3 linked regions of the Rattus norvegicus genome follow. The protein of the gene in region 3 binds, or shares a complex with, the protein of the main gene of each other region. Links are inferred from orthologs where the notes say so. Each region holds a gene or a part of one and is shown on either strand. Other genes may lie near its edges.

Region 1 (4,125 bases), on a different chromosome or scaffold from region 3:
GTCTCACCTGCCAGAGGTCTAAGCCCAGTACAGCAAAACTATCATAGGCATAGATATTCGCATCGGGGGAGTATTCAGGATTGTCAATCTCTGGGTGTATCCAGGTACCCTTGTAATCTGGGTTGTCAATTTGACGTGGCTTCCATTCGCCCTGTAGAAGAGAACCAGATGAACAGAGGTGGACACATCCCACAGTACAACCAACCACCCTGCTTAGAACCCCAAGGCATATCTTGTCTTTTTCCTGTGGTGCGACATCAATCATAGCACCAAAGGAAGCACCCTACTAGTGAGCAGCACCTCAACACCCAAGCCTACCTTGTATTCAGGATTTTGAATCACTGGTGGTTCCCACTCTCCATCCATCTCTTCGTCCCAGTCCTCAGGCTTCTTAGCATCAGGGTCAGGGATGTGCTCTGGCTTGTCCCAGTCCTAGGAATATACAGGGAGGTCAGGGGGACCCAGGGTCCTCCCCCTAGGATGGAGGTGGAGCTGTTGTCCCAACACTAACCTCAGGCTTGGAATCTGTGGGGTCATCAATCTTGGCTCGTTCATCCCAGTCTTCTGGCTTGGCAGCGTCAGGATCCTTAATCTTCTTGGGCGGCAGAAAGTCCCAATCATCCTCCAAGGAGCCCGACTCCACCTGGCTGTTGTCAATTTTCACCTCGTAGGTGTTGTCTGGCCGCACAATCAGCGTGTATAGATGTGTGAATTCATCATCCTGAAGAAGGAAGGAGGTGAGCAGTCCCTCCCACCAGGCTGCCTGGACCTCCCGTGACAGCCACTTAAATGACTACCCCAGACACACCTTACACCGGATATCCTTGTTGATCAGCACGTTCTTGCCCTTGTAGTTAAAGATGACATGAACCTTCTTGGTGCCAGGACCGCAGATGTCCGGACCTATGTAGGAAGCATATGCAGGCTGATGGCAGGCTCTACCCTTGGGGAAGAAAGACCTAACCTTATGTATTTATGCGTACGTACGTATGTACGTACGTATGTACGTACGTGTGTGTGTGTGTGTACCATGCATATACAGGAGCCTGCAGAGGGCACTGGAGTTGGAGAGCTACTGTTTGAGTGCTGAGAACTGAACTTCAGTTCTTTGAAACCATTGCATCCACTCCAGCTCCTATTTTGTTTTTGACAGAGGATACTGTTACCTTTAACTGAAGCTGCCTTTAAAGTACTCACCTACCTCAGTAGTGTGAATGCTGGAATGTACCATGGCTATCTAGAAATAAAGACCTGATCTTGTCTTTTTTTTCCCCTGAGACAGGATCTCTACGAAGTCCTAGCTGTTCAGGAATCATGGAGAGGCACCTGATTTCAATATACCTATTAAAGGCATCAAAGACTACAAATCTGAAAAGAGTACCATTCTGGGCCAGCAAAGGGCTCAGGGGTAAATTAGGTGCTTGCCACTAAGCCTGATAATGCAAATTTGATCCTGGAACTCAGATGACAGAAGAGATTTCCAAAGTTGCCCTCTGACCTTCACACTAGTACATACACAGGTACATAAAAAATTTGCACTTTTTCCAGTGATTTCTTTGACCCTGTCATTAGCATCATTTCTAAAATTAAGAAACATGTAGAAAATACCATAAAAATGAACAATATAAATCTACAACTAATAGAGTCCACCAACTAATAAAGTAAACCCTTTAGTTGTCCCCTCAGGACAAAAATCATTCAAGTGCTTTCCATGATATGAAGATCAGCATTCTAGTTATAAAGGGTTTCAGTTCGCACCCACTGTCCAACCGGCAGAGGTCAGCATTGGCTGGGGGCCCCTCACCAAACATGATGTTATATTCTGAGTCTCCATGCATGTCCTTCTGGTCCAAGCCACCCGGAAACAGCTTCACGTAGCCGCCCCCACAGTCGATATTCTGCTCATGCTTCACGGTGAACTGTACCACCAGTGTCTGGCCCTTGTTGCTGAAGGGTTCGAATCTGGCGGACAGCGCGTAAAATCGGGCATCTTGGCTTGTCTGCAACCCTGTGATGAAATGGGATTGTCGTTAGGTGGACCCCAAATACCCTAGACCTTGAGGGGCACAGTTGACCGCCCCTTCCTTCCTCCACCTGTCATTGGCTCCCTCATTCCTGGGAAAAGCTCCAACAAGCTGTGTGCACTGACAAGAGCTTCCTCCAGGAAGTTGTCTTGAATCCAAGCACCCACTCCCTCGTACCTTTATCCTTCTCCTGGTCCCCGTAGAATTTGCCAGAACTGAGGACGAATTTGCCAAAATCAGACTTATGTTTGGATTCGACCCAGCGGTTGGTCCAGGCATCTGAAAGAGAAAGGCTTAGGAGTCAGATCAGCGGGACCGTCCGACCCCCGCCCCCATAACCAACGTCTGTCAGGAGCTACAAGCAAGTGGGGGTGGGGAAGGGGATTCCCATCCCAACCTCGAACTTGACACCTCGATCGGCTTCAGGTCCTTGAACGAACCTTAACTCCGGGCGCGGGAAACCGCTGCGCCTTCCTGGTCCCCCAAGGACGCACAAATGGAACCGCCCGCGGCTCTAGTCCCCCCGGGGCCACAGTGTTGGCCCTCTGAACGGTAATTACTTTACACACGACGAGGCAGCCGAGGGCTCGGGGCCCAGCAGTCGCTGAGGCGGCCTCGAGGCGGGCCCAGACCTTACCTCCGTCCAAGAACTGCTCTTTGAAATAGATGGCAGGGTCTGCGGCAGCCAGGCCGAGGAGGCCAAGCAGGAGCGGCACCGAAAGGAGCATGGCGGGCCGAGGGGGCGGCGGCACACTGGCCCTTTAAAACGATCTTCAAGCAGCGGCTCTGCGGTATTGACGGACGCGGCCGCCGCTGCTCCAATTTATATCCACCTACCTCTCATCCCAACCTGACACGACCGCTGAGCCCGCCCCTCGGTCCTTCTGACTGGTTTAGACCTACAGCTGTCCCTTCTCATTGCGTCCTAGTCGCCTCAGCAAGTTAGGCTGTGGCTCGGAACGCTGGGATCCCAGATGGCTGATTTCTATTGGCCGCACCCTGGGCCAATCAGGGTCGACCACGCGTTGTAGGGGACGCCCCCTGTTGGGGTGGGGGCCGCGAGCCCACTCAGGCGCGGTCACGTGACTGAGCCTCAGCCCAACCCCGCCCTTGCTGGTGAGAGTCCCTTGCTCGCCATGAAGTCGTTTAAAGAATCCGCGCGAGCAGTACCGGGTGTTAACCGTGCGGGACCGAGACTGGGCCTCCGTCTCGTCTCGGCCTTTTTCCATCCTTTCTGGTCAGAGGGAAGAAGCAAGGATTCTTTGCAACTTTGATGTTCCATCTATACTGCACTTAGGGAACGCCCACCGATGGCAAGCTTTTCCTATTCAGGATAAGGTCAAGGGCCAGGATCCTGGGGTTTCGCTGCATTCTGGTTCCCAGTTGTTCAGGCCAGTAGAGAATGTACCAGCTTTCTCCTCTTGTCCCGTAGTTCCCTGACAGCCTGTCAGACTACTGTGTGACATGATACAAGTCACTTCGCCTCCCTGAAATCTCAGAAGCCAACAGGGGTGACCCTGAGCTATCTGACAGAAATGCTCTTAAACCTTTCAGGGCTATCCACGGTTTGAGAGCAGGAAACATAGTGGTCTCATCGGTGTGAATGTAAGTGTGTGTCCTTGGGTGAGAGGTAGTAACCCTACCTCTATCATTTTTTACTCTTACGCTGGAAAATGGAAAGAGTCACTTCTTGTGGTCTCCCACAAACGACTTGGCTTTTGCAATTAAACGGCTATGAGCAGACAGCAAGGGGTGCCGTTTGAGAAGGAAAAAGGACACAGATGGCTGTGGTGATAGAGTTCTAAGGAGATAAGCAGGACCCTTGGATCTGGAGGCCTCTGACTCAAATCATGTGACTGTGGCCAGCACCCTGCTTGCTGCTAGGAGGAGGAAGGACAGTACCTGTAGGGGTTGGGGGATGGGAGGTGTTTCCAAACTGAGGAATTGGGAACACTGGAACAGACAAGGAACTGCACAGAAGGAATCCTTACAAAAATGGAGTGCTTCCTTCTCAGTGAGAGGAACTCAAGCAGTAATGACACTTAAGGTCAAGAAGTTGGGGGTCCACTCTGTTCCCCAGGCAGTGTCCAGAACTAAGCAT
Region 2 (4,205 bases), on a different chromosome or scaffold from region 3:
ATACCAGGGTTCAAACTGGGAGTGAGATTTGGAGGTGAGCTCCTTTACCCACTGATTCATTTCAGTAGCCCAAACTTGGGTGTTCATCCACACATCCAAGCCTCAGCTCAAGGCTGGCTCCCTACTTCCATCCTGCCTCCTCCTCCTCCTTCTCTTCATCTTCCTCCTCCTTTTCTTCTTCCTCCTCCTCCTCCATTTTCTCATGGGACTCAGATCCCCCATCCCACGCCTACCTCAAGCACCAGGCAGGCCCAAGGGCCCCTATTCTCTCCTGTCATCTCCAGCCCGTCTGAACTCCTTGAATCTTTCCACCGTGACAATGAAGTCATGGTCCCTGGAGACCATGCAGGGGAAAAATCCAATTTCCAGAACCCAGGTACCAGGCCTGCTGTTCTTCATGCTCAATGGGGTTTGGAGGAAATGGATGAAATACAAATTCTTCAAAAGGGAGACATAGAATTTGGTAGGCAGACAGCAGCCACATCCTCTGGCTCATTCGTGCCATATCAGGGCTCTTTTCACCCACTTCAGTTTTGTTTCTGAATTATTTTATATATTACTATCTTACTATCCGCCCCCCCTCCGCCCCCAGGAGGTCTCACTTTGTACCCCTGGTTGTCCTAGAATTCATTATGCAGACCAGGATGGCCTCAAATTCACATAGAGTCTCCTGATTCTGTTTTCTGAGTGCTAGGATTAAAGGACTTTGCCACCAGGCTGGCCTCTTAGAGCTGGATCTTAGAACCCTCACTCTTCACCTTCCTCCTCCTCTAGTCACACCCGGATTCTGCGGTGTTTCAGCTGCACATGCTAGGCAAGACAACTCCAACTTGACTCTAGATGGTGGATACTTTAGACCTAGGGTGTCACTGGGTCTCTGTCTCAATTCTTTGCTTTGTAACATCCAAGGGACTACTGTGCATAATATGTAAATGAACAGATGTGACTGCTTCATCTGTGTTAAGACACTTCAATAAAACTTTCCCAATGGGTTGGAGAGGTGGCTCAAAGGTAAAAAGCACCGTCTGCTCTTTCAAAGGTCCTGAGTTCAATTCCCAGCTACCACATGGTGGCTCACAACCATCTATAATGAGATTTAGTGCTTTCTTCTGGCCTGCAGGCATACATGCAGGCAGAATGTTATATACATAGTAAATAAATCTTAAAAAGAAAAACTTCTCAGCATAGTAACTCACACCTGTGAACCAACCAAGCACTGGGCTGACTGAGGCAGTAGGACCTGGAGTTTGAGGCCAGTCTGGGCTTCATAGAGGGAACCTGTCTCAGATAAACCAACTCTTTTTTTCCAGACAAGTTCTTGTGTATCCTGGGTTGACACTGAACTTGCAATGTAGCTAAAATCAACTTTGGCCTTTTTAATTCTTTTGCCATTTCTCTTGAATGTGCACTATGGCCCATTTAGGCTATACTGGAGATGGGATCCAGGACTTTATAGATGTTAGACAAACACATTTATTGGCCGGTTTTGTTAGTGTATGCCTTAAATCCCAGCACTCAAGAGACAGAAGGGGCAAGCATTTTTTTTAGTGAGTTTCTGGATAGTCAGGCATACACAGAGACCCTGGCTCAAGACAAATAAAACTAAACTAAAATAAATAAAATACAATTTACATTTATTTATTTTGTGGGGTTTGGGCATGTGCCAAGGTTAGAAGACAACTTGTGGGCATAGGTTCTCTCCTTTTACCCTGTAGGTTCTGGGGATCAAACGCAGATCATCAAGTTTGGCTACAGGCCAATCTTGCTGGCCCCACTTTTCATTTTGATTTCCCCTTTTTGTTTTGTGACAAGATCTGGCTGTATCTTAGGGTGACCCAGAGTTCACTCTATAGCCAGGCTGGTCTTGAACTTGTGATTTTTCCTGCCTCATGAAGTCCCTGGAATGCTAGGATCCCAGGTTGTGCTACAGCCTGGTTCCAATTTTCATGGAGTGATCTTGGGCGACTACTGAAAAATGCCAACACAGTCATTCCTGTTGACCCCAGTTGTCCTTCCAGCACTTTCTGAGTCTTTCTGAGCACCTCCACTGTCATTCCAGTCCTTACTCAGGGTTCATTCTAACCTCCTTCCCCCAGTATACATAGATAAAGAAAAAGTAACCAGCACTTGGGAGGCTGGGACTTAGAGCCATCTAAGGCTACATAAGACTGCTCAAAAACTAAAACCAAAATACCCTCCGCTCAATCTTAAACTAATGTAAAACCCAAACAGGGTATCGCAGAGCCTGCATTGTGCCTCAATGTCCTGGCTTGAACGAGGGGTGCGCTGTCAGGATGCCGTGCGGTTTCTAACTCTACTCTTATTTGCTCCCGATTCTACACTAACCTTTGTCTTTCTCTTTATGCCCATAGAACTTCCCCGATGAGACTCGGAAGTGCCCGAACTGGGAGTCATTGGTGGACTGCACCCAGCGGTTCCTCCAGCGCTCTGTGGAGAGACAGGAAGGTTAACGGTGCAAAATGCACGGATCCAGATCACAGATGGTGGACACAGGCCGCCAGCCACCACGGCAATCGCCTTCACCTCCGTCTAGAAACTCCTCCTGGAAGTATACAGTGGCCAGTGCCACGCGCAGCACGCAGATGGCCCAGAGCGACACGCGAGCCCGGACCATAGCTGCACGTGAGACTTCCACTCTCCGCTTTCAGGCGTCCGTACCGCCTGAGGGGCGCAACTCGGAAACTACAACTCCAGGCATGCCTTGGGATTATGACCTGAGGCTGCTGAATGGGCGCACTGGAATTACAGATCCCGTGACGCCCCGCGATTGTGACCTGAAGCACTTATTGGTGGGTGGAGCGCGGTGGGCGACGGGAAATGTAGTCTCAAGCGGCTCTGGCGTAGTCTCCTGGGGCAACCGCACACTGGGGCCTATACATTGAGGCCGAAACCTGGCGGGCAGAGGACAACGCCGCTACTCAGGTGACCTCACAGTGATCTACTGGATCGACCAGGGGCTGCGGGAAGACGGGCGGCATTCACACACCTGAGTTTCCTCGTTTGGAGGGCGTTGGAGCATGATCCTGTAGGGTTGCTAACAAAAGTGAGGAAACTGAGTGCCGGCAGTGTGTAGTACTTAGCGCCTTTACATTTTGTGTTTTATTAGTCATTCGAGACTGCATCTCAGTTAGCCCAGGCTGGCCTCTCTGTATAGTAGAGGCTGGCCATCAACTCCTGCTCTTCCTGCAGCACTACCCAAGTGCTGAGATTGCCGCCACTCACCCTCACGCTCATGGATATATAAAACTTTTAAAGAAGCATATATAATAGGTTTTACATTTATTTACGTGTGGTCAGAGGAATCGATTCTCTTCTTCCACCACCATGTGGGCTCTGGTAATAAATTCGGTCGCTGTGAGCAGTGGCTAAGCCAGTGCCCTTCCTCTCCGTTTTAAAAGTTGAGTAATATCCTACCCTCTGCATGGTTCACTCAGTAGTTCATAGGCATCAGGGTTGTTTCCGTTTTGTATGTTGTGAATGACCTATGAAAGTTTGCGTACATTTTCGTTTCTCTTGGGCTGCAACTGAGTGGAATTGCAGGCTTACATAGTAACTCCAGGGCAATTGCCCGGTATCTTTTTCTTTCTTTCCTTTTGATGTTGTTTATGGAGACTAACCTTGTTCAGACTTTAGCATGGGAGTTTTTGAATGCAGGAGAGGAACTTAAGGGACTTTTAGAAGAAACCGTGCTGAGCCTGCGAGATGGCACATTGGAAAAGGTGCGAGCTCCGTTCCAGGAACACACATGGTGAAGGGAGAGAGGCAAATCTGCTGTTTGCCCTCTGACTTCCTTCTGGGTGAACACACAGGCACACAGGCAATAAATGAAATTCTGTCAAGTGCTAAAAATAATTTTGTTTTTGATTCTGTTTTGTTTTTCTAAAAAAAATTTTTTTAAGGAGGAGCTAGAGAGATAGCTTAGCAAAGAGCACTGACTGCATTTTTTTTAAGGAGGAGCTAGAGAGATAGCTTAGCAAAGAGCACTGACTGCTCTCACAGAGGTCCTGAGTTCAATTCCCAGCAACCACATGGTGGCTCACAACCATCTGTAAGAGATCTGATGCCCTCTTCTGGTGTGTCTGAAGACAGCTAAGGTGTACTTATAGATAATAAATAAATCATTAAAAAAGGAGGGCTTCTGAAGACAGTGACAGTGTACACATATGCATAAAATAAAAATAAAA
Region 3 (3,645 bases):
CATGCTAACAATGGACACAGGGAAAAGTTCAAAAGGACATGAAGGACACCAAGAGAACATCCGACTGCCAGAGACAGAAGGGAACCTAAGGCTTGGATTTCCTGCAAAGCACCCAACATATCCAGACAGTCTTAGGGCAAGCAGGTCTCAGCAACAATAGATGCTAACTAGAGTGGGAGGGAGACTATTTAAGGTAGAGGGCCAGAGTTTCTTGCTCGATCTTGGGATGGCCCTTCGTTCCCAGAAATCCAAGCCCTAAGCTTCCACATAAGCCCTGACCACTCGTGTGGAACCCAGGAGATAGTGGTTGGGCTGCACTGAAGGCAAATCAATGGCATGATATAATCTACGAAACAAAACTACAGCAGAAAACACACTGTAAGTGAAACCTCCACGCAACAGAAATGGACTGCTTAAGACTTCATTCACTCCAGTCTCCACTCTAAGCTGAGCCCTTTCACATCAAGACTTACAGGGGAGCAGCTTCTTCAACAAAACCATCTTTGGCCTGGGGAGAGAACTGTGCTCGAGGACAGTGCTACTGCTGTGCTAGGCAAACGGGACAATGGAAGTACATGGTCTCCCCAGCTGGCTGGCTGGCTGACTGAGCAGACCATGGCTCTGCTAGAGCAAGTGCTCCTTTTAGAAATCACAAGTAGGTATGAAGTCTGGGGCCTGTACTCCCAAAGGTGGAGTCACGCCTTTGCCTCTAATATCATTAGGAAGGTTTCATATGGTCCTGGAGCACAGGACAAAATCTGTGGACAAAAATGGGAAAGATAGAGGGAAGTCGGAAGAAGGGGAAAGAATGTGGTGTTCTGGCCAAGGAGGAAGACAGAACAGAAGGTGAGGGAACACAGCACTGGCAGCACCCTATAGAGCACAGCTCTTGCCTCTGCCAATTCACAGCATTAATGTTAGCCTTCCCCTTGGACAGGTTACCTGGGCTGCAAACGGTCACAGAAAGTCAGTAGTTTCAATCATACACAGCACCCTGTGTGTACAACAATCACATTCTGGATTCTACAAAATCCTGGCCTTTTCCAGAGATATAATTTAGGTAATAAATATTCTCCACCCCGGAGCTGTATAAAACTTCTATAAAAATAGAAACAACATTCTTGGTTCCGGCTGGTTGGGATTCAAAGCAGTGCCTGCCCAACCTAGCATTTTTTTCTTTTTTCTTTTTTTCCTTTTTAAGTTTTTTTTTATTTTTTATTTTTTGCATTATTTTAAAAAATCCATCATTACCCTGGAAGCCTTTAGAACAGTTTTATCTTGAAACACAGGACACTTTTCTCCCAGTGCACAGAATTCAAGTTTACGTGGTTCAGCTGAAGAAGTGTATGTTTCGTGTTTAAGAGGACAACAGACTCAACTCATCACTATTAAGAGAGCAGCTGTCCCAGCATCAATGGGACAACATCACTAACAACTTCCTGCACAACAGCAAGATGGTCAGTCCCTGTTTGTTATTCACAGGGACAGCATGACAAGGAGAGTGAGTGTCCCCATCTGACTTAAAGCAGGCTAGCCCCTTCTAATCTCTGCTGCTGAGAGCCAAGACGTTGTGAGGTTTAAGCTTCCAATGACTCAGGAACCAGGCCCTGGCTGTGGCTATTAATCATATACTTATAGGGCCACCACCTCTGCTCAGAGGCTGTGTGGGACACTGGCAAAGGCTGGAGTTAAGACCCATGAAAGGCAGCAGGAGCTCACTGTAAGCATCATGACAAAATGAACATGGGTTAATACTGAGGTAAATGAACACTAAATCCATATGGAGCCTGTAAACTTCCTGTACTCTCTTCTGCCTTCAAGGACAGAGAATGGGGCTAGAGTGGCTGGAGGAGAGGCCTGTCAGACCTTTATGAGATATACAACTTTTGGGACACTTCATTAAGGAGGCAGAAATGCACTTCTGAACCTTCTTGAATACTAGGCTCTGCTCAAATACAGCACAGTGGCTTGCAGAGACCTTGATTCAGGCACACCAAGAAGCAGGTCTCTCCTCCATCAATCAAATGGCTTCTTGATGGCTCTGCCCATGAACTGCACCCTTGTTGGCTAGAAAGGCTGCAAGAGCTTCTTAGGTCTGCCTTCATGAGAAAACTGTGGCCGGAGAAGGAGGCAACATTCCTTGGTGTGGTGAACTTCCATAGACTTTCTTCAAAGGGAACTGCTGGAAATGGGCATTGTCTAACTTCATGTTGAAATAAACTAAAATGACCTCTCTGGTTGCTTTCCCCAAACAGCCACCAACCAGGCAGGGCAATAAAACACGAATGGTGGGCCAGGCTGGCTAGTCATGGGTATCTCCCTGTTATTTGCATATTTCAGGCTAAATGAAAAGTGCGTTATTTCCTGAGACTTGCTTACCCTCTTTTAGAGAAGAGCAGAAATCCAGGACAAAAATTAGAAAAATAGGTGGCGTAAGTTCAGCATTTCCACAGAAAGCAGCCAGTCATGAAGGGGTCTAGATGCCAAGCCATCTCACCCATTCTGCCCCATACCGCATCAGACTTTAGTTCTCAGTCTACCCACCCTGGCAGCCAGGGAGAGAGACCTTGGAGATCAACTTTCTGTTCTGCTCAGCCCTCTCTTTCCATGGTTTAGGGCATGTTCTAATTATCTTTTAAACCCATTTCTCTCTTCCTCAAGGTGGACTGGTGTTGGTCCTTCTCAACATACTAGTTACAAACACAGCAAACTTTAAATAAAGGGAAAAAGAAACAAAACAAAACAAAACAAAAACCCTCAGGATATGGCACCTAAACTCCAAAGTAAAACACTGGAAACCAAAGCACAAACTTGTCCTCTGTACGAAGCGACACTCCCACAGAAGGCAGTAGCTGAGTCTTCAGGGCAAGCTGTGCCTGCGAGAGTGGCAGGGATCAGGGTCCAGGGCTGTCAACACACAGCCTTAGGGCTTCGAATGATTAAGGGTGCTCCTCCCCCACTTACCAGAAGATCTTCTCACTCCAGTCTCAGAGGGGAGCACGATCAGTAGGGCTTACTATCATTCTTCGAACGTTTGAGCTGCACTTTAAGCCTCTTCATTCCAATTTGAAAGCCGTTCATGGACTGGATGGCAGCTTGAGCTGAGACAGGATTGTCATAACTTACAAAACCTGTGTGTCCAAGCAGAAACCTAGGTGAGGAACTTAATAAAGCAAGAAGCCTCAGTCCTGTACAAAAGGTTATCTCAACTGTTCTCAGCATGCACAAAAATTCTGGCAATGACAACCACAGGAAACAATTAGGTTCTCAGTGGTACTACCTGACATTCACCAGCATTCTCTCTCCCCAAGCGAAGCTATTTCTACACACTATTTCCTCTGGACCAATACTGTGAGCAGAAAGCACAACCTCTGCTACAGGTAGGACTAAGCTCAGAAAGAGGTCATGATCTGCTAAGGTCAAACGCAAATCCAGATTTCCCTGAGTTTGTCAGCAGCTACTTTCTCTCTTTCTCAGTACGTCATCCCATTCCAACACCAGAAGAGAAGTCAACATACCAAAACACTTGCTCAGGTTGGTCTGCTTGTCTATGAAAACCTTGGCAGACACGACATTCCCAAAGGGCATAAACATCTGCAGTAAGTCCTGGTCTCCAAACTCTTGGGGCAGGTGATAGATGAACAG

What was found.
Region 1: Celf1 (region 3) and Calr share a complex: the UniProt entries of both Homo sapiens proteins name them as parts of the EIF2 complex. The link is inferred for Rattus norvegicus from reciprocal best matches to the Homo sapiens genes CELF1 and CALR.
Region 2: Celf1 (region 3) and Calr3 share a complex: the UniProt entries of both Homo sapiens proteins name them as parts of the EIF2 complex. The link is inferred for Rattus norvegicus from reciprocal best matches to the Homo sapiens genes CELF1 and CALR3.

Annotation. Positions count from the first base shown.
Region 1 is NC_086037.1:40,212,057-40,216,181, reverse strand, and holds the start of Calr (calreticulin precursor), read right to left. Parts: upstream 2,816-4,125; 5' UTR 2,753-2,815; coding exon 2,662-2,752; intron 2,304-2,661; coding exon 2,202-2,303; intron 2,009-2,201; coding exon 1,805-2,008; intron 904-1,804; coding exon 809-903; intron 722-808; coding exon 512-721; intron 433-511; coding exon 319-432; intron 152-318; coding exon 8-151; intron 1-7. UniProt on the Homo sapiens protein: Calcium-binding chaperone that promotes folding, oligomeric assembly and quality control in the endoplasmic reticulum (ER) via the calreticulin/calnexin cycle.
Region 2 is NC_086034.1:17,428,724-17,432,928, reverse strand, and holds the start of Calr3 (calreticulin-3 precursor), read right to left. Parts: upstream 2,825-4,205; 5' UTR 2,636-2,824; coding exon 2,545-2,635; intron 2,449-2,544; coding exon 2,347-2,448; intron 1-2,346. UniProt on the Homo sapiens protein: During spermatogenesis, may act as a lectin-independent chaperone for specific client proteins such as ADAM3. Required for sperm fertility. CALR3 capacity for calcium-binding may be absent or much lower than that of CALR.
Region 3 is NC_086021.1:97,448,505-97,452,149, reverse strand, and holds part of Celf1 (CUGBP Elav-like family member 1), read right to left. Parts: coding exon 3,519-3,645; intron 3,132-3,518; coding exon 3,004-3,131; 3' UTR 2,965-3,003; exon of another isoform or gene 1-2,964. UniProt on the Homo sapiens protein: RNA-binding protein implicated in the regulation of several post-transcriptional events. Involved in pre-mRNA alternative splicing, mRNA translation and stability.